Mus musculus: one gene and its partners. The main gene of each other region encodes a partner of the protein of the gene in region 2 in a complex. Links are inferred from orthologs where the notes say so. Each region holds a gene or a part of one and is shown on either strand. Other genes may lie near its edges. The genes, in order: Serpinc1, F10 and Asph.

Region 1 (7,500 bases), on a different chromosome or scaffold from region 2:
AATCCACGGATCCAACCACTGCTTTCTGTCCTCAGGTACATAGACACACTTAAGGTCTTAAAGGGGGAGGTGAGTTATTACACATTACAAGACATGAAGTAAACTCAAATGTAGCATGTTGTAACAGTAACATACTTTTATGTAATTAAGAATGTTTGGGGCCAGGCAGTGGTGGCGCACATCTTTAATCCCAGCACTTGGGAGGCACAGGCTGGCGGATTTCTGAGTTCGAGGCCAGCCTGGACTACAGAGTGAGTTCCAGGACAGCAAGGGCTACACAGAGAAACCCTGTCTCGAAAAACCAAGAAAAAAAAAAAAAGATTGTTTGACTACATGTTGAATATTAAATGGTAAGACGGAGGGGATGTTCAATTCACAGTTCATATATATAGGTCTGTATCCTATATACATGCTGTGCCTGTAGAGGCCAAAAAAAAAAAAAAAAAAGACATTAGGTTTCCTGAAGTTAGAGTTACAGACAGTAACTAGGGCTAGAACCAGGATCCTCTGGAAGAACAGCATAAGCTCTTAACTGCTGAGCCATCTTTCCAGCCCCATATTTTTAAGAGATAGATATATTAATCATAGTTGGAATTTATTCTAAAATACTTTCCAATGAAAATTGATAGGGATTTCCAGAAAAGGGTTATAACATTACCAATTACTAAATACGGGGACCACTGGTACCATGACTGGCCACAACAGAAGGAGCCATGGTAAGGGAGCTCAGAAGGTATTAGATAGTTAAGTGCTTGTAGCCATCCTTGAAAAATGATGACATCTAAAAAGGAAATTCCAAAACCAAGCCTGTCTGCCACTTAACCTAAGCTTGTCCTGCTTAGGATATAAGCAGGAACTATCTGACCTGTTAGGCTGACATGCTCAGACTAAAGTGAATGTGTTATATGTGCATCAATGTTTTGTCCCAGTGATCAGCGAATCTGAAATGATCAGCTAGTTAAATCATGCTTTCCAGCCAGTCGTGGTGGCGAACACCTTTAAACCCAGCACTCGGGAGGCAGAGGCAGGTGGATTTCTGAGTTCGAGGCCAGCCTGGTCTACAAAGTGAGTGCCAGGACTGCCAGGGCTTCACAGAGAAACCCTGTCTCGGAAAACAAAACAAAACAAAACAAACAAACAAAAAAAATCATGCTTTCCAACCTGTTTGGCTATTAAGAGAAAAAATACCTACCTCCTTTTTTTTTTTTTTTTTTTTTTTTTTTTGTTTGAGCACCTAACCTTAAGAAAGGATAGATGGAAGAGTGGGAGGAAAAGTTGTAGGAGCCAGAGGGGTCAAGGACAGCACAGAAATCTGATAGAATCTATTAACCTAAGCTCAGAGGGCCTCACAGAGACTGAACCACGAGGCATGCAAGGAACTGACTCTCTCCACATCTGTAACAGTTGTGTAGCTTGCTTTTTCATGTGGGACTCCTAACAGCAGGAGCAGCAGCTGTCTCTGACTCTTGCAGCCTACCTTTGGGACTCTTTTTTTTTCCCCTTACTGAGCTGCCTCAATAGAAGATGCACCTAGTTTTACAGCAACATGATCTGCCAAAGCTGGTTGATATCCGTGGGAGGCCTCCCCTTTTCTGAAGAGAAGTGGGGTGGGGTGACTGGGTGGGAGGAAGGGAAAACTGGTCAGTATGTAAGTAAATCAAAAAATAAAACATTGGGAAGAAAGTGGTTAGGCATGATGTCCTACCTTAATCCCAGTTCTTAGCGGCAGAGGCAGATGGACCTCTGAGCTCAAGGTCAAGGCTGATCTACATAGCAAGTTTCAGGACAGTCCTGTCTCACCTACATACACGCCCACACTCCAAAAAAGTAGTCAGGCAGGAGATGGTGGCGGCCCATAAATGAAGTACCCTGGTGAACAAGAGTTGGAAGCCACTTATATTACATAGTAAATTCCAGGCCAGGCTGGGCTGCACCATATCCCAAAACAAAAAGTGAATTTATCAACTACTAAACGTCCATATGCTTAACAAAATAGAAGACAAAAGTACTTTCTGCCATCAATGAGCTCTAATTGTGGAACTTTGCACAGGCTTTTTAGATACCTTAATCTTGATGGCTATGGTAGTACAGCTTCATTCCCAGAGGTTAGGAGACAGTGGCAGGCAAGTCTCAAGGCCAGCCTGATGTGAAGAGTTCAGTGCCAGGCTAGTCAGGGGTGCATAGTGAGCCTTTGACTCAATAAGATGATGACAACATTAATTATCAACGAATTGTCATCTTCAGAACAAGAAGCTGTGAGACTGGACAAGACAACTTCATTGTACAAGGCCCTAAGTTTGATCTCTAGCACCATCCCCAAAGAAAACTCTGTGTGTGTGTGTGTGTGTGTGTGTGTGTGTGTGTATTTAACTTTGTTTGGCTGGTGAAGATCTCCCAAGGAAACCACAGTGAAGGTAAGACATGAGCGAGTTGAAGTATGGAGAGGGGACTAGGATGTTAGAGAGTCCTAAGCTGTCCTAGTAAGGGAAGATAGGGTATATGAATTCTGAGGGAAGGGACTGAGTTGAAATGGGGATCTTCATTACAACTACTATAGACAGGCAGCTGAAGAGGTGTTGCTTGTAGCTTTTACTACCCCACCAAAGCTCCAGGAACAGGCCATGCTACCAGCCCCCACCCAGCTTCCCTTGAATCCAAGGATAAAAGAGGAGGTAGGATCAGATGGCAAGGGCTGTAGACCATGCCAAAGTGTGGTGGCACTACTCTCTAGTTCCAGGTTAGATCAAGTTCAAGGCCAGCCAGCTTGAGCTACACTGGCAAGTTCAAGGCCCTGAGTTACATGAGACCTGTCTCAAAACTAAAAATAAAATGGCCTTGTCCTGATGGTAAAGAAAATATAAGCAGAAGGTAGTATGCAAGGAAATACAAAATCTAGATTTGTGCCTCTTTATTCACAATTATTGAAAAAATTATGCATGCCTCTCCCATGTGCATGGTGTTCACTGGGGCCCTTGGTAAGGTGCAGTCTGTTTCAGCGGGTCTGGGGTGGGGCTTGGAGGCACATGATCACAGATGATACTCGTGTTCAGTGTGGCCAAAGAGCACACTTGCGTAAGACTCGCCATAATAGGTAATTTTAGAAATAGATCTGATTTGTATCTGAGACATTTTAGTGAAGTGGTGAGATATAAGACATAATCAGAAGACATATCTACCTGAAGACTTTAAGGGGAGAGGTGAGTAGGGTGATTCTTAGCTGGGTTCACATCGGAAGAAGCAGGTGCCTTAAATGGAAGTCAGGGTTCCTGTGCAGCGTGAGCAGCTACAAAACGAATGAGTCTCAATGAGGCCTGAAGGAGTTTAGGTTGTTGTTTGTTTTGGGTCTTGTTTTTTTTTTTTTTCTATTTGAAGATTTATTGTATGTATGTGCACCATATGTGTGCCTGGTGTCTGTAGAAGTCAGTATTGAATCCCCTGGAACTGGAGTTCCGCATGGTTGTAGCCCACCATGTAGGTGCTGGGAATCAATCCTGGATTCCCTGCAAGAAAAATGGACCTAGCTGCTGAGCAGCTTTATACTTCTCAGTTAAATACCAATACCAATACAGATGTGAAGCTGGACATTGGCATGCTGAATCTGTTTAAAGTGAGGCTAGGTTCCCAATTGCAATCGGCTTACACGAAATTAGGGCCTGAACCAGCCCAGTGGTTGAAGTAGGAGAGGAGTTGGGCAATAGGCTGGTTCTGTGTGGTGACTTGAAGACAGATGACAGAACTCCTTAGTCCCCTTGACCAAACAGTAGATCTGTTTGGACATCCTTTTCATGGCATCAAAGCCCTTGGGAATAGTTGAAAGGAAAACCTATAGTGATTTTAGTCTGTCATACATACTCCTAACCTCCCAAGCCCAGTTAGGACCTAAAGGTGCTCTCTTGTACCTCTTTGTCTCTGTGTCATATGTCTAAACTAAACCTTTTACTCCCTGGATAGTTAGGGTACACCTAGACTCAAAGCATGGCATGCCTGTTTCCCCATGGCAGAAGGGCCTCTTGTAGTTTGGGGTATTATACTTTAATCTGTATTAGGCTTTTTTGTTTGTTTTTGTTTTTGTTTTGAGACAGGGTTTCTCTGTGTAGCCCTGGCTGTCCAGGAACTCACTCTGTAGACCAGGCTGGCCTCAAACTCAGAAATCCACCTGCCTCTGCCTCCCAAGTGTTGGGATTAAAGGTGTGCCGGTGGTGCTCGGTGGCTTTTGTTTTTTGTTGTTTTGTTTTTGTTTTGTTGTTGTGGGTTTTGTTTGTTTTTGCATACACATGTCATGTCTGAAGCACATGCATGCAGTACCCAGTGATGCTAGGAAAAAGCACCATCTCTTCTGGAAGTGAAGTTAGAGAGGGGAGCTGCTATGTGGGTGCTGGGAATTGAACCTGGGTACTCTGGAAGAGTTGTCAGTGGTCCTGCTGACATCTCTACTGCTGAGCCATTTCTGGCCTGGGCTTCAGCTCCTTAACTAGTTCTGATGGTTACCATGATACAGTCATTCCCATACCCTCATGCCCTCCTTGTCCCTTAAATGAACTTATAAGGGTTTTCTAAAGCAAGGCTTGGAAGATGTGTGAAAGGCGAGGTAGTCTATAACTCAGCTGCTGTCATCACAGCACACACCTTCGTCCTAGCTTTAGCCACGTTTCTTCCTGCTGCTTCGAGGTCAAACTATGTCATCCCCGTGTCACTGGGAATTCTGCCACTCTCCCTGACTTTGCACTCTGCTTTTCTTCTGTGGTTTTCTCTTATCTCCTACAACTTCTGAGCTAATGTACATGCAATGAGCTTTTTCCCCAAGTTGCTCTTGACTACCTCCCAGCCTTGATTAATATTTATTTGTTTGTTTGTTTGTTTGTTTGTTGTTATTTATTTATTTATTTATGTGCCCTAGGCATGAAACAGCTTTGGCCATCAAACCAGGCATTAATCTAGGATGAATAACTGCCATCCACTCTGCCCCTGACTGATATAAGAACACCACTGCCATAGGTGTCTCTTTGCCCATTGCCCGGGGGGTATTTCTGTCCTCAAGAATCAGTAATGCCTATTTTTTAAAAAGTCTTAATAATCTCTCCATTAAGGAAGTATCAACTGCTAAATCAGAAAAAAAAAATCTGTACCTCTTCAAACATAAATGTTTATTGAGTCCTATCTCATTCAGAGCCCACAGCTGTGTGCACTGAGCATGTTCAATAAATATTTGCTCTTGTGGTTTGATTTCACTGAAACCCAAACTGAACTTTCTAGCTGTACCGAGGACCGGGGCAAATTCCAGTAAGATGCTTCAAGACCCTGGGAAAAGCAGCCAACATGATAATGCCGGGCTTGCTCTTGATAAGCTTCATCCCACCTTAATTACCACCCGAAGATGCTGTTATTACCCTAAGGTCCTTCTTCTTCGACAATCCAGAGGAGCTAGGCATGCCCTTGCTTTGAGGCTCTGTGTTTTGCCAAAGCTCTATGGAAGGGAGTTACTCAGTAACCATAGGAGGGTCTGAGCTACCAAAGACAAGAACACCACAGCCTAGGGCATGAGGGCAGCAGGCAAAGGCCAGTTAATGACCTGCTCACGGTGATTTATGTAGACTGGAGGCTGCTGTAGAAAGGAATTAATGACCTGAAGGAGGTCCCAAAAATTAGAGGGGAAGTAAACGTTAATATTCTTTCAATGTCACTGGAAGACCCGATGTATGCTTTCCAATCTTGTTTCCACTCAGAATGGAGAGAAACGGTTCTACAGATAAGTAGGGGAATTCTCCCCCAAATTTTTACCTGACACGAGTATATCAGAAGGCAGGAAGATGATTCAGTGGGTCAGAGTGGCAACCTGAATTCATTCCTGGAACCTCATGAAAAGACAATTGCAGTGGTACCCATCTGAAATGCCACAACTCCAGTAGTGAGATGAGGAGCAGAGCTAGAGTTGCCCAGAGGCTCCAGGGCCAGCTAGCCCAGATTGTACTGCACAGTGAAACCATCAAAGGTGAAGGGGAGAACCAACTCTGTAAAAGTTGCCCTCGGGTCGTACACGTGCTGTGGTATGTACACAGCTGCACACATCACTCACACACACACACACACACACACACACACACACAGAGAATGTTTTTAAAGTTTCATTTTTAGTGCTGATTAGTCAACCCCTGTGTCTTACTTACTCTTAGAGAGCACGCACTCCACCTCTGAACTACATCCCTGGCTCCCCATAAATAGTTTGCCTCCAGTTCTGGATATAACTAAAGTCTCAAAAGAAAATTAGAGCACTTTTCTTTTTTAAAGATTATTTATTATATGTAAGTACACTGTAGCTGTTCTCAGACACCCCAGAAGAGGGCATCAGATCTCATTACGGATGGTTGTGAGCCACCATGTGGTTGCTGGGATTTGAACTCAGGACCTTCGGAAGAGCAGTTAGTACTCTTAACCGCTGAGCCATCTCTCCAGCCCTAGAACACTTTTCTTATATCTTATAAAACTAATTAAATATTTCATGGAGTATGCAAAGGGGAGTACAGTCACAAATCAGTTTGCCTGGAAATAGTCTTTTTTTTTTTTTTTCTTTCCTTTCTCAACACAATCTAAGATGAACCAAAAGAGAAGATATTTGGGATCATCCAAGCCAGTGAAAGCCAAGGGGAGCTGTATGTGTGAGAAGCTGAGGCCAGGCTGGTAGTGAGGACTCTAAGGAGGCCTGCTGCAGTACACAGTGATGGGGAAAACAGCCAGGGGCAATGCAGCTCAGCACAGCAGGACTGTCTTTTGACCATGTTGTCTTTCTGATGGCAATGTTGGATATCGTAGAATAAGACAGGTGTTTGCTTCTTGGCCAAGAATCACAGGTGCTTTTTTTTTCAGTAATGGAATCCCCATAGCATATCCCAAAAATGATGGGTTCCACAGCTGAGAGTCAGGAAATGCTTGGGCTGGTAACCTGCAGGCCTTTGGAACAGTTACAGCTTAATCATGCAACACAGAAACTGAAACAGCTAAAAAGAGCTGGCCACATGATATAGAAGCTATGTGGTGGCTGTGCTCATCTGGGATGCATATCAGACACATGTACACTAATACAATATCTGTAGCCAATGAGAAAGCCTCTAAGGTCATTTCTGGGACCTGGATTTTTGAGAGCATTATGAACAAATTTGTGACTATCCAGAGGAAAAGAACCAGGTGGTGGGAGAAGTTACAAGCTTCACATGTGGAAAAACAAAAGCAAAAGGATTTAGTAAGGGCTACATAGTAAGAAAGAACTTATCTCATAAAACGGTGGGAGGGGGAAAAAAACAAGCAGATGCTGAGTTGTAGCCAGAGAACATGGACAATTCCTTAACAACACATAGAAGACCTGTGAAACAAGGCTGGAGAGATGGTGCAGGGGTTAAGAGCTCAGGTTAAGACCTGTGAAACAGGTATCAAAGGAGGGCCTTGAACCTCATTTCCCCTAATTTTGTGATGGGGACAAGTACTCCAGCCAAGTAAACAGGCATTTGT
Region 2 (6,727 bases):
TTCTTTCTTTCTTTCTTTCTTTCTTTCTTTCGTTCATTTGTTTGTTCGTTCGTTTGTTCGTTCATTCATTTTTTGAGACAGGGTTTCTCTGTGTAGCCCTGGCTGTCCTGGAACTCACTCTGTAGACCAGTCTGGCCTCAAATTCAGAAATCTGCCTGTCTCTGCCTCCTGAGTGCTGAGATTAAAGGTGTGTGCCACCACTGCCCGGCTGCAGCCCGTTTCGTATACCATGAAGTCAAGGGAAATAAGACTGAGGGAAAAGACCCCACCACAGGTGGGGCAGCTGCCCCAAGAACATTCCTGTTTAAGGTGGCAACATTAAACAACACCAGATGTGACCCAGCAGGACTGGAGAAGGACTGCTTTAATTGGGCGGACCTGCTGTCCTTGGGGTCTCGGCTGTGGGTCCCACCCTGGCTTTCATGGACCTGTCAATCCACTTGAGGAAGGTCGTGACCTTTGTGTAGATGCCATATTTCCCTTTCCTTGCACACCCCTCTCCCCAGCTGACAATGCCGGTCACATAGTAGGTATTTTTGAACCGTGTGACATGGGGGCCACCACTGTCCCCCTGGCAGGCATCCTCTAACTTGGCCTCATAGCCCGCACAGAACATATTCTGTGTGATGCTGAAGCTGGTGGAGAGCTTGCAGGTGTTGCGATCCACGTAGGGTACCTCCAGCATCTTCAGGATGTTCGACTGGCGGCCCTTCTCATGCGTGCGTCCAAACCCGCTCACGATGCCCGTCTTCTGTGTCATCAGTGTGGACTCGGCCCAGTCTTTCTGAGGCAGGCAGGCAGGGGCCACGTTCATCCGGAACGTGATGGGAGTCTTCAGCCTCAGCACGGCGATATCATAGTCGTAGGTGTCCCTCTGAAACTTGTTGTGCTTAATGACCACGTCCACCTCGTGCACCATCTCGTTGCCTTCTTCCTTCTCTGTGTTCCGATCACCTGGGGCCAGAGAAAGAGAGAGAGGATAGGGCTGAGTTCCCAGAGGGCCACGTGTTTGTGATCTGCTGTGTTTAAAGAAGCACACCTTTAGTCCCATCACAGAAGGATTAGAGGCGGGTAGATCTATGAGTTTGAGGCCAGCATCATCTATCTATATGATAAGTCCCAGGCTATCCACACTACATAAACTAGATCCTGTCTCAACAAGAAAGGAAGGAAGGAGGGGAAGGAAGGGAGGGAGGAGGGAGGGAAGAAGAGAGGAAGGGAGGGAGGCAAGCAATGTGCTGCCTGGTCTTATTGTCAATTTGACACAAGCTAGTCATCTGAGAGGCAAGAACCTCAATTGAGAAAATGTCCCTTATAAGATCGGGTTGCAGGCAAGCCTATAGGCACTTTCTTAATTAGTGATTGATGAGGCACCGCCCAGCCCTTTATGGGTGGTGCCATCCTTTAGCTGGTGGTCCTGGGTTCTATAAGAAAGCAGGCGGAGTAAGCCATGTTATGCAAGCCAGTAAGCAGCACCCTCCACAGCCTCTACATCAGCTCCTGCCTCCAGGTTCCTCACTGACTTCCTTTGATGGTGACCTGTGATGTTGAAGTGTAAGCTGAACAAACCATCTCCACAAATAAGTTTTTTTTTCCTCATAGGAAACCAGACCCAAGCCAAGGACTGTGTGCTTGTGTTCCTAGCAGTCAGAAGGACCGGGCAGGTTCTTTGTAAATTCAAGATCAGCCAGTTCTCTGTAGAGTAGCCCAACTCAAAAATTAAAAATAAAGGTACTTAAAAGGTGCTCTGTCTTTCTTCCAGTTCACCTTCTTATCATATTTTTAAAAAGTCTTTTTAAAATAAAGGTTTATTTCATTTTATGTGTCTGAGTGTTTGCCTGCATATGTACGTATGTGCACTGTGGGCATGCCTAGTGCCTGTGGAGGCCAGAAAATGGCATCAGATCTCCTTGAACTTGAGTCACAGACAGTTGGGAGCCACCATATGGGTTCTAGGAACTGAACTGAGGTTCCGTACAAGAGAATTGAATACTATCAGCACTAAGACAGCTCCCGATCAGATTTCCGTGTTCAGGCTTAGGACTCCAGTTCTTTCCAATTCCCCATGCTTTGGTAGATGGTCCCTGTGTAGTTCCTGGAAGCTGGGTCTGTGGATTTGCTCAGGACAGAGGGTCTCCTATTCCAGACCTGGGTGGTGCATCCACCCTCACCGGTGCCGGTGCCCTTGGACCCACCCAGTCTGAGTTAAGGTGAAAGAACCTCCTGCTGACTGTGGAAGGCAATGTGGTAACATCTCACTCACAGTGGAAGTTTATCCCTCTAGGGATGGAAAGTCAAGGCCTCGGGGACACAGCTGGAAAGGAGAAATGCTGAGACACCCGCAACAATCTGTACTTGTTACGTTTGTAGCAGAGAAATGTCAGATGTCTCAAACTGCACCTGAGGCAGTTTGTGGCTGGATTGTTACTAGACAGCTCCTGGGTCTTGTGGAAACATGGAAATGCACTAAATGACACACAGTGAAAGGAAGAGGCCCTGAGAGTGTTGTAGAGAGAGGAAGGTTGGAAAGGCTTCTGAGGATTGGACAGTAAGAGGAGTGTAATAAAAGACACACTAGAAACTCTGAAGAGAGAAGTCTCTTGCTGGAATGGCCTGGGCTGGGGAAGCCGTTAGATGCCTGCCCTCCGAGTTCTCCTCGGCATTTGGGCAACTGTTGCTAACAGATCCCATGTGTCTAGAGATCCTGGGAGAGCAACGACAGTGCTTTTAGGACTTGAGATGGCGGGGTCCCCAGGGCTGGAATGTCACTTACCTACCCTCACCTTGAATCGCCTGGCCTGATGGAGACAGTGGGCAGCAGTGAGGATGTAGAACTCATTCAAGATGGTGCCCCCACAGAACCCTTCATTGTCTTCGTTAATGAGCAGAGCCTGTGACCAGAACAGAATTGTCTTCAAACCACCTATAGCCTGCGTGAGGCCATGCCACACTGAGTAGGCTATTTGGGCTCTCCAGGGACTCTCAAATAACCTTTTCTAGGAGTTTTACACCTGTTTCTCTGACCCCTGCTTTCTCCATCCACTAGCCTACCCAGAGACCCAGCTCTCCTGCCTGTTGGCTGCCCAGAGAACATATGGTAGCTTTCTCTCAGTTCCAGACACCAGCAGAGACCTCCATGTAGTCCAGCACCCCACAGCCAGGCTCTGCTCTACCTCCACTAGCCAGTCCTACAACTCCTTCTGACCCTGCATCTCCTGTGGCGTTCACTCTAGCGGCCCAGACCTTTCCTGCATGACCCTCAGCATATTCTCCAACAGCCACCTTGTGCCTAATCCCTGGGCATATCCAGCCTTGTTTCCTCAGGGTAGGTTTGGTCTGCTGTAAAGATTGACCAACAGATAGTTCACAGATATTTGCTGAGGGTCTGACCTAGACCAAGAACCACCCTGGAGGACATCTTTGCCTGTCTCCTTCCCACCCAGGTGACAAGGTCCCTGTAACGGGCCTCCTCTTTTTTCTCTTCCCAATCAGTCCTAGCACTTTCGCCTGTTACCCACAGAAGACATTCCTCTGTAGTAAGAACCTTAAGGTTTACATGGCTGTGACTCATGACCCAGACCAGCCAGCCCTGCTCTGAAGAAACACTTTACTTTCCATAGCCCAGATCCCGCAGCCTACAGACCTGCCCTCCTGCTCATTAAGTGCCACTGTCTGGGATGATCTAGTCAGGGTACCCGTGACTGCTCTTGAGAAGCTATGCAGAAGCAAGAGTTGATGTCCAGGAGAGGAACCATGCCCATCCTAGAGCTCTAGCCTGCAGTGCTGGACACCAAGTGTTGGCTGGGCTGCCTTTCTTTAGTGAATTCCCTACCCTCTGGTGGGAGTCAGCGAGCAGGATGCACATGGCATTCACCTTTAATCCCAGGATTAGGGAGACAGAGGCAGGTAGATTTCTTATGAGCTCAAGACCAGCCAGGCCCACACACTGAGACCCTATCTAAAAAAAAAAAAAAAAAAAAAAAAAAGCACTCTCTAGTGTTGAATCCAGAGGAATTCTTGAGGTTACCCATTGCTAAAAAGTCAATGAGTTTGTCTTTTATTGATTTTGTTTTTCCTCTTCTTATATTAAAGATGTTTTAAAATTATGTTTATGTGCATGAATATGCACAGGTTAGTGGAGGTAGCTGTGAAGGCCAAAGATGCCAGCTCTCCTGGAGTTGGAGTTACAGGAGATTGTGAGCTGTCTAATCTAGGTGCCAGGAATTGAACTCTGGTCCTCTGGGAAAGGCGTATGCACTCTTAACCACTGAGCCATCTTCCAACCCCTATTTACCTTTGATAACTATACAAACTCAAACTTTGCTTTAGTGACAAGGGAAAGGAAGCCAGCTAAGACCCAACAACATATGCTTTCCCCTAAGGAGGAGCCAATCTTGGACCAGGAGCAGGTTTCTCTTACTCAGACTTCATCAGGGGCCTTGGTGAGTATTCCCCAGCCTCCCTGAAGATGAGATCTCATAGTCTACACGTAGTAGCCACTTTAGGTCCAGCTCAGTGAGTTCTCAGTACGTGTGTCTGAAGAGGGTTGCATGTAGGCTGGAATTCCTGCCTCTGGTCAACAACATCTGCCCTGCACCCTGCAGGTGGAGGGTGTTGACATGATGTCTGGGCATTGCTGGTGGCTCTAGACCAGTAGTTCTCAACCTTTCCTTTAACAAATTCTTCATGTTATGGTGACCCCCAACCATAATGTTATTTTGTTATGACTTCACAACTGTGACTTTGCTACTGTTATGAATTTTGAGGTAAATATCTGACATGCAACTCCCAAAGGGCTTGTGAGCCACAGGTTGAGAACCGGCTGTTCTAGGTTTTTTGCTTCTAGGAGAGGCATTTAGGTTTTGGACATTGCAAATCTCAAGGGCTAGCTGAGATGACAGAAGAGATTCAGAGCACTGGACCAGAAACCAAGCTGGGATCAGAAATAGCAGTTGAACACTCTCCTACAGCGGGACTCCAGTCTCACCAAGGGGCTTTTTTGCCCCCCTAAGTCTGGCAACCCTAGATCACATCAATAACCAAAGTAGTTAAAAAAAAACCATTTTGAATGTAAATAGAATGTATCTTTCTTTAACATATTTTACCCCTGTTAGCATTTAGATGTTTTTGTTTAAATTTTTTTTTCTCAAACTACAAATGGAATGATGGCCACTGAGAAGGACCCATGCAGGTCTGAGTCACTGACCCAGAGAGGGTTGTCCCACTGGCCTTTAGTGACCCTGAGAGGGTTATCCCACTGGCCTTTGGTGACCCAGAGAGGGTTGTCCCACTGGCCTTTAGTGACCCGAAAAGGGTTGTCCCATTGGTCTTTGCTGACCCTGAGAGGGTTTCTACTTGCAGCCAAGACTAGCTTAGGCCAGTTACCTGCCAGGGACATTCTCCATCCTTGCATTCCCGGCCACCCACAATCCGAACAAGGTCATCGCTGCTCCTCTCAGGCTGTGTCTCGTTGAGGTTGAGCAGTTCAATAGGATTCTCCGTAGGGGACAGGAAATCCTCATCAAGCAGGGCGTCTTCAAGGTCAAGCTCACTGTCGCTGGTGTTTAGGGCCACAGACCTCTTCCTACGTCCTGTAGTGATTTTTCCACAGGGGAAGGGAGCTAAAAGAATAGGACCACAGAGGCCTCAGCAAAGCCAGAAGCCTCATGAGGCTTCCTGGCCGGGGTGGAATGGTTAAGCCTAAGAGTCAAATGAGATATCAGTAAAACACAGCTAAAATGAATAAATAAATAAATAAATAAATAAATAAATAAAGAAATAAACAAATGCTAAAAAACTCCTTCATCCTTTAAATTTTGTCAGACATTTTGTTGCAGTGCTGAAATTCTGATGAATATAAATAATTGGTACCAAGAGTGGGGTTGCTGCTATGGCTACTTGGTCATGTGGTTCGAAAGGCTCGGGGCTAGTTGGTAGGAAGAATTTAAAAGCATTTAGAGATGTGAGCTGGAGTAAACTTAGAATTCTGTTGTTCAGAGCTGAGTGGGTGGTTCCATCAGGGTATCACAAGACCAGAATGCTGAAACAATTGTGGGTAGCGAATATTATGATCATGAACTCTTAAAAGGGATCAGAAGCTCTGTTGGGAATCAGATTAGAGGCCATTGGCTATAAAGACCTTGTTCACATTTTGCCCATGCCCTGAAACTGTAGAATCAATATTTTAAAGCTGATAGGCAAATTAAATTGGCAGAAGAAATTTCTTGGCTACTCAGCATTCAGGCTGTGGCATGGTTATTGCTGGATATTTTAAATGAAGTTTACAGTGAGAGCCAGAAATAAAAAACAGAGTTAGAAAACTTGAAAGCCTTTACCTTTGCAAGAAAACCAAGAGCAGAAACCAACAGCAAGAGAAGGGTCCTGTAGCCAGAGGCTGGGCACAGTGGCTATTCTGTTGCCAGTCATGGTTTGAGGTCAAGTAGTTACAATGTGGCCTTTGCTTCCCAAGAGTTGTGATTGTGACCTTAGCTAGTGAAAAGAAACTAGAGACTCTTATCCCTGGGCTGAAATACGTAGTTACAAACTTTCAAAGTATGCCAGACAAACTCTCTACTATTGAATATACCTATGTTTTCAGATATTAAACTTTATTTTGAATTGACTGGGATTGTTCCTGAAGTTAAAATAATTGGTACACATATCGAGAAATAGCTCCAGTTAAAAGTTTCTTAACTACTTGAAGCTTAAAAAATGTCAGTGAAGCCGG
Region 3 (7,242 bases), on a different chromosome or scaffold from region 2:
AAAGGAATCCTATATTTGAAACAAACATGTTACAGAGTAACAGTAGTGCAGCTTGTCAAGCAAGATGGGTACTTTGTATTCTCTCAGGTTTTTCACTCTCACCATCAGCATGGACACGTGTACAATTTGATATGCATCAAGGCATATCATATTGTCTTAGGCTATCGGGAACCAGGAAGCAAAACAGAGAGTAAATGGATTAAGATTAGCGATGTCAGAGAGACTTGCCACATGTTTCTAAAACAAATAGAGGCCTGGGCTATCAGATTCCTTGTTCCAAACTGCACTGCCTTTCATGAGAAAAATGGTATTTGTTGTTCCCTTTTGGGATCAGTGCACATGAACAAAATATCTAAGTTAGCCCACATAACCACGGTACTACTATTAACTAGAAGAAAATGTAAACTTTATCTATTTATTTTCGAATAATCTCCCAGCCCATGGTATGGTTGCAAAGAATTCCCTCCGAGTATTTTATAGAACTTGTTTTCCTATGATCTGGCCAAGCTAGAAAAACAGTGCTACCAACACAACAAACACATACAATTCTTGTAGTGAGCAAATTATGGGCTTTCTAGTTTTCCATCCTTAATTGGCTGGTAGAGTATTAAGTCACTGGCCCTGACTTATCCCCTTGGTTAAGTAGAAAAAAACTGCGACTGGGCCCCCTTCTTTCAAGAAAGCCAGGACACACTCAGCAGCACACTGTATCCATTAGCAACCTAAGAGACACAGAAAGTTTATGGAGGCTGGGGAAGAATAAATTTGGAAGTGTGTTTCCCAATGACCAAAATGCATCAAATGATTGTGTGAATTTATATTACCAAAAGTATACGGACATATTTCATTCTCCATAAGTCTTAAGATTGTTCCACACAAAGGCTTATTCTTAAATTTCTTGATCTATTAGATATCTTGAGAGAATTGAACACCAGTTGATAAGAGTTCCTGGGTAAGTACAGACTGATTAAAATAGTTTTAAGATCTAATTGCCATTATATAACTTGAAGCTTCAAATTGGGAGGGGAAACATGTTCTACAGCGACACCTGCTGGTAAGTGACAGAATAAAAGCAAGCCACAGCCAAAAGAGGCAGCCAGTGGTAAGTATGTCAAGACACTGGCCACAATGGTGATACATTGCACAGACCCCTCTGTACTGTATCATAAACCCAAAGACAACCATGTCCCTCTTCCTCAAACACTTTCCCAATCAGTAAATGTGAGAAAGACTTTTCACTGGCCAAGTAATAGTGAAGCACACTCTATGAATGAAATACCTGCGTTCAAAACCCCGGCTAGGTAAATCACCTTTTAGATGCATGTTAAACGTAAAATGTCCAACTCCTTTCTTCTGTATTCTAAGGAGCAAATTGAAAAATTTAAAATGAAATTCTACTTTATCATTTCTCAACTGAGCTGAAGAAAGTGGAAAGCAGACACATGCTTTAAAATATTTTCTCTATAGATGTGCTTTATAGGTCTCCCATCCCCCATAATACTTTTATATAATAACCTTAGTACTAATGAGATGAGTTATGAGACCAATGTCACCACTGATATCAGATTCTCAATGTTAAAAACTTAGTGTGTGCACTTTTCAAACTATGATTTTTAAACGTGCTACTTTAACCATATTTTAATCAAAGGCTTATTAGTTAAACAAAAGCACAAATTTCTGCAATGACTGTAACTCTACCTGGGACATGCCAGAAGAAAACTTGATAAACTACTTCAACTCCCAACCCCTATAAGATCTGACGTATTCTATTTAAGAACCAACAATTCAAACAGTGCAGTGTAATGATGAGCAACAGAAAACCTGGCTTTTAGTTGATGCTCTTCTGTCCTACCTGGGTTTTCACAGGCTGAGCAAGACCTTTAAGCATTAATTTTCTCACCTTATTTAACTAGAAGACACTAAATGCCACAGCAATGTAACTGCAGCTACGGACTCCCCAGCAGTTAGAGTTGGTTTGCATGTCCATGTCCCTACCTCAGTGACCACATAAAGTTAACTTTGTTTTCAGTACCCTGTTTATCTTTCAGGTGTACCCTGCTGTAAGAAAGCAATAAACAGAACCACGCTTTCCCATTATAATGGTAACTGTTTAGCACAAAGGGAAGAAGAGTTTTAGTTTCCACCTGGGGTGCCTTCTCTTTCACCCAATCAGAACTCAGTAGTTACTGAAATAGTTATTTAAAATAATGGCCTAGGAAGAATCATGCGCTCTGTGTAATTTAGGCTCGAGTTTGGGGGGAGGGGTTAGAACACAGGTGTTTCATTCATTATGAATGAAATTGTGCTTCATTATAGTTATGTCACTCTAAAGTGTGGGCAAATGATAGACTAAGGGACTATACATCCTAATGATAGAATAAGGGACTATATATACATCCTAAGAATAAGGTACTATACATCCTGGGGTTTCCCAGCCCTACCAGCTGACTGTAACACTGGTACTTATCAGGGGACGGTGCACACTCTCTGTACTGGCAGGCCTCATAAGAGACTTCCCTGGATGCAATCAGGGTGTAAAGGATAGAGATGAAAGTCTAGGATGTAGCTCAGCGGCTAAAGCACTTCCCCAGCACACACAAAGCTCCCAGGACAGCAGCAGACGCATTTCACCAGGCAATCGCTACAGAACACATTAAAATCTTGCTCATTAGCTTTCTCCTCAACATTCAGTAGGCTCTTCTCATTCACATACTTCAAATCTATGCTCCAACCACAAAGCAATGGCGCTGCCGATGTCAGATTAGCTGACTTAGGAGCCAGAGAGCCTGAATGTCATTTTTACCGGTATTGAGGTGAATTAATTACTACAGTGGCCTTGGACCTCAAACTGTGTACATAGAGTCCTTTCCATTAAGAATACAAACAGCTCTCAGAATGTTAATGTGTACAATGGATTTAACTGCCTAACTTTCCCCATTTACATTTATTCATTCATTTTCTAATCAAATATTTATTGCACAGCTATTAAGGAAACGAACTATTCTAGTTGATAATGGGGAATAGAAGAGAGTGAAACAAAGACAATACATGAAGACAGAATATACATGAAGACAGCAAGTGCTATGAAGAAAAACCATAGTTGGCTCATCTATCGTCCTGACATATACTAATAAAACCATAATCATCCAATCTATATATGACATATAATAATGAGCTGCCCATAGACCAAAGCATAGAATCTAAATCATTTCCAGTGATATTGAGAGCTCACATTCAATACACATGTGTGTTCCAGTTCCAATATTCTAAATATGAGTCAAAGGAAATATAAGAGAAACCGAGAACCGGTGAAATCTGACACGAAACAGATTTAAAACATCTGTTCTCCACTCTGCTGGCTAAGCACATGGAGAAGAAAGGTGAATAACCAGTAGGGTTTTTTGTTTGTGGGTTTTGGGTTTTTTGTTTGGTTGGGTTTTTTTTTTGGGGGGGGGGGGGTTATGATTTTATTTTATTTTATTGAGAAAAGAAAAAGGAGGCACAGAGAAAATCCCTATAGTACTTTATGATGTCCCTTTGTATTTTAAAAGGCAAACGCAATACATATTAAGAAAACTAAACAAAACTCCTTAAAATAATTTGCAAGAACGAAGCATCAAGTCTCATCCCGGCCCTTGAATACACTCCTCCAAGCCGCTCCTCAACGCTGCTGGCCAGGCTGAAACTTACTTTCTCTGACTTTGGCTCAGGGTCAAGCGCCCCGAAAACTGCAAAAAGATAAAGGGCCCTCTACACCCAGCTTCCATCAGGAAAGGCAAGAAAGGGCCGGCCAATGCTCGGGCAGGCTGGTGCTAGGGGTCCCCCTCCGGCCGACTCTGCTCCTCCGCCTCCCCGCCCGGTGAGCGCGGCCTCGCCCCGCGCACACAGGAGCCTCGCTAAGGATGGAGAGGAGCGGCGGACGTAGGATCAGACCAGACCTGCAGCGCCCACCCGGCTCCCGCCCGCAGCCAGGGCCTGGCCTGCGGGGACTCTGACCTCTCCGAGCCCCGGGGCTACTGCTGCTACCGCTGCTACCCGTGCTCGGGCTACCGCTGCCCGAGCCGCTGCCGCTGCCGCTGCTGCTGCTGTTGCCGCCGCCGCCCTTGGCGTTCTTGCGCGGGGCCATCGCGAGCTGCTCCGGGGACTGCAGAGAACCGGGGCCTTGCTGAGTGCACTAGGGACACCGGGGCTTCGAGACTCCTGTAGCAGCGCCTTAGCGTCCACTGCGCTCGCTGCGCCTCGGACGACTTGCACCAGCGTGCAGCCGCGCGGTTAGCCTCGCGTGCGCCCAGCCTGCGACTCCTTAGGCTGCCAAGAGCGCTCAGCTCCCCCCGGCCTCGGCCCCGCCCACGCCAGCCTCTGCCCACCCACCAGATCTGAAAGACGCCAACACGAGCCAATCCCGAGGACCGCTGGCAGGGGGCGGGGCAGGCTACGCGCGCCTGCCCTCCTCAGGCCAAAGCTTGTCTTTTGCTGCGCAGTGACTGCAAAGCCCCAGCGGCTTGTGGCTTTCTAGTCTGCCTGGATCCTCTGGAACGTGGCAAACGTGGAAGCCGGCAGGACTCTCGCGAGCGTTGGTGTTCTGGCTCCAACGGGATGGGGCGGGTATGAGGGCGGTGCCCGAGAGCTGCGCACCACCTCTTGGCTTCTTGGGAATTTGGTTCCGGTGCCTAAGTACGACCAAGGGTGCAAGCCCTCTCTTTGAAAAGGATTTGCCACAGTTCCGCCAGTACACTGTGATTGTTGAGCCTTCCAGTGTCAAAAATAAGGATTTGTGCCATCAGTAGTTTTGGAGAACCTTTAGTTAAGACATTAAAATGTTAACATGACTCAAAAACCCTATTTTCTTAACCATGCACAACACTCTCATCACACTAATACCTAGAATTTCTTCATGTCCCCAGCCATTGATCTCCTATGCTTATGCAGTGTACTGCGTCGGGATTGAGAACTGAATATTCAAAAGAAAAATGGCAACAGCTGGATGAACCAGCCAAGGTCCAGCAGAGACCATGATCATTTGTTACCAATTGCCCACATGGTGTCTGTGGGTAACAAAAAAACATGAAGTATGTGGTGATTTAATACATTGCTGTCAATGTCGAGATCTTCCAGGAGTTCTTGGAAGCAGCCCCTTGTAGAAGACCCAGAGTGAGCCACTGCTGTGGGACGACCCCTTCTGAGACTGCAGTTTCCTCAACCACCACTGACCATCATTAGGGTCCACTGGCCTCTGCCTTGTCAGCTGTGAATACTGGGTACCGCCCGGGGAAAAAAGTGGAACCCAAGAGCCTCACAGAACAGGGAAAAAGAGGGCATCGTTTTCACACAGCCATGAAGGTGGGTGCTGCCGTCCATTCTTACTGCATTTCTTTATCTCTGAGCCTCCTCGGCACCCAGGAGTCCTCTCTTTTGAACACAACTTCTTGCCCACAAAGGACATTCTTTCAGCAGGAAACAATGATGGGAATGGGGGGAGGCAGAGAGGCAAATCTGATCCATATCACTTAATGGAAGGTGCTGATATCTAAACTACAATAGATAAATAACTCTCCATCCCCAAGATAAAAAATTTTAATTACTCACAAAACACTATTATAGAGTTGATGCTTTAAAGGTTCAATCTTAACTAGCTTCCACAAATGTTTTAATCCCTTGTGCTGGCTGATTTTGTGTGTCAACGTGGCACAAGCTGGAGTCATCACAGAGAAAGGAGCTTCAGTTGGGGAAGTTCCTCCATGAGATCCAGCTGTAAGGCATTTTCTCAGTTAGTGATCAAGAGGGAAGGGCCCAGCCCATTGTGGGTGGTGGCATCTCTGGGCTGGTAGTCTTGGTTCTATAAGAGAGCAAGTTGAGCAAGCCAGGGGAAACAAGCCAGTAAGTAACATCCCTCCATGGCCTCTGCATCAGCTCCTGCTTTCTGACCTGCTTGAGTTCCAGTCCTGACTTCCTTTGGTGAGGAACCAGCAGTGTGAAAGTCTAAGCTGCATAAATCCTTCCTCCCCCCACCCCCAACTTGTTTCTTGGGCATGAGGTTTTGTGCAGAAATAGAAACCCTGACTAAGACAACCCTTATTCCCAGTTGGTGGTGCTGGTTTGGGGAGCTGAGGAATCCTCAGGAAGTATGACCTGGCTGCCCAAAGAGGCCACTAGGAGCAGACCTTTGAGGGTTATTTTATTAGTCCAGGCCCTGCTCTCCTGCTGCCATGGGTTCACATTGCCTCTGACAGTGGGGGCTAATGTTATGCCTTCCCTGGCCACGACAGATTAAAGTCTCTCTGGAACTCTGAGCCTTAGTAAACCTTTCCACTCTTAAGTGATTTCCTTTGAGTATTTTAGTCACAGCAATGCTAAAGTAATGAATGTCCCAGAGTTGGTGATAGAGAGGGGATGTGAACTCAGACTGCATGCAGAATTACTTCCAAATTATCCTTCCTAGAAAAAATCTACCGTTCAGTTGAGAATATCTTACTTGACGCCACTCTCCTGCAGCAGAGGCTTCTGGGATCATCTACACCCTCCCTGCAAAGACAGACTGAGGCCTGAGTGTGGACACTTTTCATAGGTCACAGTTTAGGGAAGTTAGATTTTACATTTTTGAACAGCTGTCTCCAAGGAAAAGTGAGGCTTTGTTCCTTCAGTCCAGAAACTAAGTCTGGTATTGCTAGCAATAGGACATAGTCACATCTCCACTCCATTCTTCCAGGAATCTGAAGAGTTAGTTCCCCTTTCCTTAAGAAACCTTCATTCAAGCAAAACCAGGATTTGTGGCTGCCCTACAGAAAAGAGTTTCACGGTGATCCAATAAGAAACCACGTTGGAGATTTTATTAAAAGTAGGCTTTAATATAGATCTTAAGCAGGGGGCTTATTAGAAAAAATGATGCTGCAGAGAGAGAAAGATTAAGTACCCCCAACAGGACAAGTACAGACTTCTCAAAGGAAAGCTGCAACTGGGGTTTTTTTCACAATGGGTGTGTATGGGATGTGGGTTATAAGCCAAGTTACATCTAGAGGTTGCTAAGAAACAATTTCCTTCTTTCTAATATTGCCTAAAAGCTGTAAGTCACAACTGTGTTAAAAGTTAAAGATTTTGGGCTGGTGAGATGGCTCAGTGGGTAAGAGCACCCGACTGCTCTTCTGAAGGTCCAGAGTTCAAATCCCAGCAACCGCATGGTGGCTCACAACCATCCGTAACGAGATCTGACTCCCTCTTCTGGGGTGTCTGAAGACAGCTACAGTG

The links.
Region 1: the proteins of F10 (region 2) and Serpinc1 are in contact, whole or in part, in a crystal structure (PDB 2GD4), measured with the Homo sapiens proteins. The link is inferred for Mus musculus from reciprocal best matches to the Homo sapiens genes F10 and SERPINC1. Residues at the interface, in NP_000495.1 of Homo sapiens: Asn254, Glu256, Glu258, Gly259, Phe260, Cys261, His276, Cys277, Gln280, Ala281, Lys282, Thr318, Tyr319, Arg366, Lys370, Gly371, Arg372, Gln373, Phe396, Asp413, Ala414, Cys415, Gln416, Gly417, Asp418, Val437, Ser438, Trp439, Gly440, Gly442; in NP_000479.1 of Homo sapiens: Asn265, Thr266, Arg267, Glu269, Met283, Met284, Tyr285, Glu287, Tyr292, Arg294, Val349, Val420, Val421, Ile422, Ala423, Gly424, Arg425, Ser426, Leu427, Asn428, Pro429, Asn430, Arg431, Thr433.
Region 3: the proteins of F10 (region 2) and Asph are in contact, whole or in part, in a crystal structure (PDB 6Q9F), measured with the Homo sapiens proteins. The link is inferred for Mus musculus from reciprocal best matches to the Homo sapiens genes F10 and ASPH. Residues at the interface, in NP_000495.1 of Homo sapiens: Asn97, Gln98, Lys100, Cys101, Lys102, Asp103, Gly104, Leu105, Gly106, Glu107, Tyr108, Thr109, Cys110, Thr111, Leu113, Glu114, Gly115, Phe116; in NP_004309.2 of Homo sapiens: Ala389, Glu390, Arg393, Ser394, Asn395, Leu398, Gln431, Phe432, Leu433, Gly434, Met436, Arg437, Val462, Leu465, Leu466, Ile467, Gly468, His493, Phe496, Ala500, Arg526, Phe529, His530, Arg562, Ser563, Leu564, Tyr565, Asp616, Glu617, Leu619.

Annotation. Positions count from the first base shown.
Region 1 is NC_000067.6:160,975,519-160,983,018, forward strand, and holds the start of Serpinc1 (antithrombin-III isoform 1 precursor), read left to right. Parts: upstream 1-3,064; 5' UTR 3,065-3,197; intron 3,198-4,884; exon of another isoform or gene 4,885-5,022; intron 5,023-7,500. UniProt on the Homo sapiens protein: Most important serine protease inhibitor in plasma that regulates the blood coagulation cascade. AT-III inhibits thrombin, matriptase-3/TMPRSS7, as well as factors IXa, Xa and XIa. Its inhibitory activity is greatly enhanced in the presence of heparin.
Region 2 is NC_000074.6:13,049,520-13,056,246, reverse strand, and holds part of F10 (coagulation factor X isoform 2 preproprotein), read right to left. Parts: intron 5,622-6,727; coding exon 5,386-5,621; intron 2,892-5,385; coding exon 2,774-2,891; intron 955-2,773; coding exon 365-954; 3' UTR 1-364. UniProt on the Homo sapiens protein: Factor Xa is a vitamin K-dependent glycoprotein that converts prothrombin to thrombin in the presence of factor Va, calcium and phospholipid during blood clotting.
Region 3 is NC_000070.6:9,664,785-9,672,026, forward strand, and holds the start of Asph (aspartyl/asparaginyl beta-hydroxylase), read right to left. Parts: upstream 4,379-7,242; 5' UTR 4,127-4,378; coding exon 3,997-4,126; intron 1-3,996.